Xenopus tropicalis: one gene and its partner. The protein of the gene in region 2 purifies or fractionates together with the protein of the main gene of each other region. This does not show direct contact. Links are inferred from orthologs where the notes say so. Each region holds a gene or a part of one and is shown on either strand. Other genes may lie near its edges.

The links. Proteins that work in one complex are often made in the same cells at the same time.
Region 1: the proteins of hspa12b (region 2) and eef2k purify together in Homo sapiens (affinity purification with mass spectrometry; 3 studies listed by BioGRID and IntAct, with this or other methods). This does not show direct contact. The link is inferred for Xenopus tropicalis from reciprocal best matches to the Homo sapiens genes HSPA12B and EEF2K.

The regions. Positions count from the first base shown.
Region 1 is NC_030685.2:25,027,435-25,031,097, forward strand, and holds part of eef2k (eukaryotic elongation factor 2 kinase), read left to right. Parts: intron 1-172; coding exon 173-371; intron 372-3,522; coding exon 3,523-3,590; intron 3,591-3,663. UniProt on the Homo sapiens protein: Threonine kinase that regulates protein synthesis by controlling the rate of peptide chain elongation.
Region 2 is NC_030677.2:15,717,487-15,721,249, reverse strand, and holds the end of hspa12b (heat shock 70 kDa protein 12B), read left to right. Parts: coding exon 1-30; intron 31-1,726; coding exon 1,727-1,830; intron 1,831-2,663; coding exon 2,664-3,304; 3' UTR 3,305-3,702; downstream 3,703-3,763.

The sequences.
Region 1 (3,663 bases), on a different chromosome or scaffold from region 2:
GATCCACTCAGGCCTTGCAAATATATAATAAACGTTTAGTAGACCCCCTCTTAACACTCGATAAATATGTCAATGCCAGTATTTAATTTTTCTTAATATGAATGTTTGTAATTAATTCTGCTTTAATTTAGTGTGCATTATCACTCATATGAAAGGCATTGTTTTTACCCAGCAAACAGCCCAGACTGTTGTTCGTGGCATTGAGGAAAAGTGTGGCAGCAATCGGGTCAGAACCATGTCTGGCAGCCGCCCACCTCTTCTCTCACGTCTCTCTGAAAACTCTGGAGATGACATGAGTGACATGGCGTTCGATTCCTTACCTAGCTCACCTTCCCCAGTCACCCCCCACGGCCATCGATTCGATTCGCATGGTAAGTACAGAAGCCACCTCTGCAGGTTAATACAAAGCAAGCTGATTAAAATATGTTAATGGAGTTTTTCCAGTGCCCCAGATCAGGTACTGAGCTGGTATTTTCCATTGCTGGAATTTTCATTATTAATGGGGTAGAGGCAAGAAACAGATTTATTCCATTTTGTAGTTATTTAGATCACTGAAGATTAACTTTTTTCTTGTTGGTAGATTTCTGCAAAAAAAAAACAGTTTTTGCAGCTTGATCCCACACCCAAAAATGAGGAACCCCAAAACATAGAATCAAATACACACTGTAACTTGAGTGTCGGCAGCCGTATCTGCAGTATGTTCAAAAATACATACTTGATAAAGTATGTATTTTTGACAGTACACTTGATAAAGGGTATTGACCCGAAACATGTTGTGTTACCACTACCCACAATAAATGTTTTGCAGTAAATCTGCTGAAGCTTTTTTTCCTACTTTTTGGATATCTGCAGTTTGTAAAGGGGTAATCTTATGAGGAAAATGCAGAGCTCTTTGCTAGCATTTCAATCCACAGGTCAGCTCTGCAGATAAATACTGGAATGAAGTATAGGTATGGGACCTGTTATCCAGAATGCTTGGGACCTGGGGTTTTCTGGATAAGCGGTCTTTCCATAAATGTGCACCATACTTTAATCCCACTAAAAAATTATTTATAAGTTAAATAAACCCAATAGGGTTGTTTTTCTTCCAATAAGGATTAATTATATCTTAGTTGGGATCAAGTATAAGCTACTGTTTAATTATTACAGAGAAAAAAGTAATCTTTAAAAATTTGAATTATATGATTAAAATGGGGTATATGGGAGATGCCTTCCCCTAATTTGGAACTCTGGATAATGCTTTTCCGGATAACAGATGCCATACCTGTATATATATATATATATATATATATATATATATATATATATATATATACACAAAGGATGGCACACCGCTACATAACATACCTCGGGTGCTCGGTAAAGGGTTCCAATAGTATAAAAAAGACCAGCAACTCCGGGATTTCTTGTGAAAAATCAAAACATGTATTCAAAGTAGCATAAACAGCCGACGTAACGTTTCGGTCCCCATTGGGACCTTTCTCAGGGCATCCATGCCTTGTAACACACATCTTTAAATCACCAAAAACCAGTAAATCAATAGGAAGTGACATCACAGTGTGCTGCCATAAAGTGGCTGAAGCCATAAAGCAAGTGAAAGTGCTGAAAAGTGCTGTAAAGTGTTCAGTGCTGGGCAACATCAGCCTAATAAAGTGTTAAGCAGCATTAACATAATAAAGTGACTTAGTGAAGATTGTTAATCCAAAAATTACAGGTATGCATAATATCATATAAAAATTCATATAAAATTCCATGCAGTAAACATTTACAGCGAGAGGTTAATGTGCAACATAAAGTACTTTTTCAACCATACATCGACATATATACAGAAAGTGCACGTGCAAAACCTGTTTCTCAGGATATCCCCTATCTCGGAATTTCTGGCACATCCTATTCTCCTGTATTTCTCGTTCTCCTGTCTCACTTACCAATCTCTTAACTCTAGAGAGTTGACTCACTGGAATTGAGCTTTTCGTATGTGGTGGATGTTGACTTTTGAAATGTAAAATCTAGTTTCGATCTGTTGGCTTAGTGAAAAGAGAAGTACATAAACTGCCTTCAATATTTCTATAGATTCGTACATCCAAAAAGTGAATTTGTTGGAGATCATGAGTAAGTGTCAAAGTGATAGAAGGATGTATATCATTCAATTTATTGTGGAACAGTTTCAGGGAGCCAATGTCACCCCACCACAGTACAAACACATCATCGATGTATCTCCACCAAGCCAAACAATGTTCGGGCCGCCAGTTGGACAGCACTGCTCTAGAGTTTAGAGATTGGTAAGTGAGACAGGAGAACGAGAAATACAGGAGAATAGGATGTGCCAGAAATTCCGAGATAGGGGATATCCTGAGAAAGTGATTAATAAGGCACAATATAGAGTACAACATTCTACTGGAAGGAGAAAACAGGGAGGTGGGCGAATACCTTTTGTTACACAATATTCAGATTGCAGTGAAACAGTTGCTCAAACTTTACGTAAACATTGGTATATTCTTAAAAAGGCATATCCGTTGATACAAGAATTTGAGGCACCCCCTATGATATCATATCGTAGGGGGAGAACTATTGGTGCTTCGGTTACCTCCACGGCACTTAGAATGGAAAATAAACAAAGTTATACTTTTTTAGGAGCAAAAACTAAGGGCATGTATCCATGCCTAAATTGTACGCAGTGTGCATATGTTTCGAAAGGAAGCTATTTTGTGCATCCAAAAACAGGTCAAAAGATACAATTACGGGGGCACTTTACATGTGTCACAAAATATGCATTTTATGTGTTGATCTGTCCGTGTGGTCTCATCTATGTGGGTGAGACCACACAGATGGTAAAATCCCGTATATCACAACATCGATCAGCTATTAATCTGGGGAATACTGCATTACCGGTGTCTAAGCATTTTTGTGAAAAGGGCCACACTGCAGAACAGCTCAGGTTCATGGTATTGGAATCTATACCGCCTCTAAAAAGAGGAGGTGATAGGGAACTTAGGCTGAAACAAAGGGAAGTGTAGTGGATTAATAAACTACAATCACTTTTTCCTATTGGATTGAACAAGGATTATGATTTGTTTCTCTTCTTGTAAATATTTGTATGTAATTGCACAATTTTTCTATATAAGATTCTGCTACTTGATTGACAATATTCTGCATATGTAAAAAGTTTACTATGACTTGAAATGAATCGCTATGGTAACGCTCAATCTATGATGTCATTTCCTGTATATCCCTTTAAATGTGATTCACTGGATGGATCGCATTATTACAGGCTTGATAAAGGGCATGTGTTTTGTCCGAAACGTCGCATATGTGATGTGATTCTTTTTAATACACTTTTTTGCAAATAACCCGTGTGCTGCATCTCTTTCAAGTTTTGTATAGTTGAGGGACGTGACGGCGTCCTGAAGTTGCAGAGCACCGGGGTTCGCGCTATGGATGAGTGCGGTGACAGTATTGTATAAGTTTATACATATATATATATTGACTACATTTGTCTTTTTCCCTTCTTTCTCTTTAAAGGTTGGCCTATTTTTAATGAGGTCGACAACTTACTTAACGAAGAAAACAATAACTTGGACAATCATAGAGTAAGTCGATTCATAGGTTTTTCTATACTGTTGTGTCTAAAGCTCGTTATTTATGTTACACTTATTTTTACTT
Region 2 (3,763 bases):
GAATGTGGAGACTGCCCTGAGAAAGAGCAGGTAACCTAGAACCTGGCTTGTATTAACATGCTCGGTGTGCCATAATGTCCACTCTAGGCTTCCATCCACAGGCTCAATACAGAACTAGTCCCAAGGTGGGACACAATGCTTGGTTAGGTGGAGCTGACCTCGTTGGCTGCACATCGAATAAACCCTCTGCTTTTTATTGGCTGTCACTTCTCAGTTACCCCAATTTCATCACTACCAACATCACCATCAAATTATCCATCTAATGTATCCATATGGACATGAGGGAAGAGGGCTGGTTACCTGCCTAAAGGTTCTACCTATATCTACTCCATGGGGCCCCATTAGGGATTAATTTCAATCACTATAAAACTGTACATTTCCATTGTACGTCCCTCAGTTATTCCCTAGGAGGCCACCAACCGAGAAGCTTCCTGTTAAAAGGGGAATCAATGTTCCTATTGATCCGAGCGTTCGATGTGTAATTAATTCTCAGTCTCCTCAAACTCTCGCACGTTCTGAAAGCCTCAGAGTGAATTCCAATCCACCAGGGAAATCTCTCTGGAAACCACGGCCTGTATCGTCTGTAGCCTTAAATAATGGCATTTACTATTGACTGTACAGGAGAGAAGTTGTAACGTGTATTGTTGTAATTACTGCACCAGGGTTCCTGCTAATAAGGCTGGGAGGGGGGGGGGACTTGTAATGGAACCTTCTCTGCAACAATATTCTGCACATACAGAATTAGTAAGGGTCATAGATGAATTGGTGACAGCTACAGCATTCCAAAACAGTATAAGGTGGTGTAGCCCAGGTTAGTGGGGACGACTAGGAATGGGGACCACTGGGATTTTCCTTATTATTCCTGTGGACCAGTCCAAGTCTGGACTAGCAATGGGGACCACCGAAATTTCCTCATTATTCCTGTGGACCAGTCCAAGTCTGGACTAGGAATGGAGACCACTGGGATTTTCCTCATTATTCCTGTGGACCAGTCCAAGTCTGGACTAGGAATGGGGACCACTGAGATTTCCTCATAATTCCTGTGGACCAGTCCAAGTCTGGACAAGGAATGGGGACCACTGGGATTTTCCTCATTATTCCATAGGACCAGTCCAAGTCTGGAGCAAGGGATAGATCCAGAGAAAAAGGTAGAGATTACCTCTTTGGGGGCCACTGGGATTTTCCTCATTATTCCTGTGGACCAGTCCAAGTCTGGAGCAAGGGATAGATCCAGAGAAAAAGGTAGAGAATCCCTCTTTCTAACTATCATGCAGATCTATGGTTCTGTTAGGAAGACTAGTGGGTCTGGCCAGCCATGTAGTGGGGCCTAGTCAGGCCGACCTACCGGTCAACAATCAGATTCCATGGTGTCCCATAAATGACTGACTTAATTTTCCATTTGGCTCATTAGTGCTTCAACAACCCCAGTCAAACTGATCCAAAAAGGCTACCAACTCCATCAGTGTTTATATGTAGCAACAGGCAGTTTCTACTGCCAACTACTGGTTCAGCCTCAGTCCTTCAGCTGTAGGTTTGACTCCGATGCCTTGTCAGATTGTATAGATTGGTCCTGCCATGTCTGAGATGCTTTGTTCTTATCGTTAATAATCTGGCCACAGGAGAGCGCTTGAGTCTGTACATCAGGTTAAAACGTGGTTAAAACTGGCAGTCATTTATATGACCTCTGACTCAGGAACTCTAACACCTCCTTTATATTTTGCTTCAGTGTCAACTTTGTGAAATGGTCATCCCAGGGCATGCTACGGATGTCTTCCGAGGCCATGAACGAACTGTTCCAGCCAACCATCCGTCAGATCGTCCAGCACATAGGTACCATATCATCCCCATTTACTTACCCTTTAATGCACTCACAGTATTACTTCGAACTCTGATGAATAGTATAAACTGCTGATAGTGGCCTGACTAGGACAGGACTCATACTATATTAGTATAGAATGTTTTGCTCAAATAGTCAGTAGCTGAGATAGGTTATAGTACTTACACATTTAGGCACAGTTAATGGGACAGGGCCTCATGTTAAACATCCAGGAGTAGTAATTCATCAGATATTGATCGGGCAGGTTAAAAGATTGTCAGATCGGGGACCACATCGGCTCGTTGATGCTATCCCTGAACCGACTACCCCATTGCTCCCGTTAGCCTACATTTGCCCGATATCGCCCACACGTAGGTCCGCTCGCTTGGCGAGGTGTATGGCCACCTTTAGGCAGATCTTAAAGGGCCAAGCTTTTTATCTTCCAGAATTATTATCAGTATTGTACTGGATTTGAAATATTTTTGTGGCCGGTCTGTGTTTTTTCTAACTTTCCTTCGTTGTGCGATGTTTATTGGGCTGAAATGTTTTAGTACTCGGAGAGATTTCTGTAAATATTAACTCAATGTCTGACAGAGTTTTTATGCTGAACATATTCTCCCCCTACTGTGCCAGCCTTGGGTATAGATTGCTTACTCCTTGCATGAATAATGGATCCCAGTCCTGTACTGGATACAAGAATATTGTAGGACTCACCAACATTCCAGCCCTGAACTGAGATCCTGTTCCATAAATGGATAGTTTGGGGTAACAGCTAAAGCTAATTGAACCATAGAAAAGTCCATCTTTGTGCAGAGACCAGTCTATAACATTGTCACCTTTCCCGTAGATGACCTCATGAAGAAGCCAGAGGTGGAAGGCATCAAGTACCTCTTCCTGGTTGGTGGTTTTGCAGAGTCTCCGATGTTGCAGAGCGCTGTCCAATCAGCTTTCAGCGATATCTGTCGGGTTATCATTCCTCAAGACGTTGGCCTTACCATACTCAAAGGAGCCGTCCTCTTTGGCCTCGATCCTACCATTGTCAGAGTAAGGCGTTCTCCTCTCACCTATGGCGTTGGGGTCCTCAACAAGTTCGTAGAAGGAAAACATCCAGCGGATAAACTCCTTGTGAAAGAAGGGAAGAATTGGTGCACGGATATCTTTGATAAGTTTGTGTCCGTGGATCAGTCGGTGGCTCTAGGCGACATAGTCCAGCGGAGCTACTGCCCGGCCAGGAATGGGCAGCGCAAAATAATCATCAATATCTACTGCTCCTCTACGGATGAGGTGGTGTACATCACCGACCCTGGCGTCAGGAAGTGCGGCACCATTAACCTGGACTTGCCTGATATAAACGAGGAGAATGGGAAGACGGGGCGCCGGGAGATTAAAGCCAGCATGCAGTTTGGGGACACGGAAATCAAAGTAACGGCCATGGATGTCAAAAGCAAAAAGACTGTGCGAGCCGCCATAGACTTCCTTTCCAACTGAGCAAAGACTTATTCCTTTAGTTCTAGAGAACTTGCAGAAGTCATTAAGGACAACCATTGGTGGTTAAAGCCAAGTCTCTGCTGAGGTCTTTGCATTCCATTTCATGATAAACCTGGAATAACTTACCTGTGGGCAATATCATTGGCCACTGAGACGTTTCCCATTATGTAGAATGGAAGCCTCGGTGGTGAGCCACTATTTTAGCTACCAGTACCAAGTCAGAACCACTTAAAATGTGTTATTCAACGGATCAGTCCTTCCAGTCATTCAGCCCTGTCAAAAATGTATGAAGTTCTAGCTGATGTTTGGTGGCCGTAAAAGACTTTTTTCAAAGACAACTTTTAATATTTGCCCCTACATTATGACCAACATGATGACATTGCATTGGAATCTAAGCGTCAAGGCAACATAGAACGTTCAAGTAATGAACAAATGATATGAAGGTTGGAGGCCCAGCCT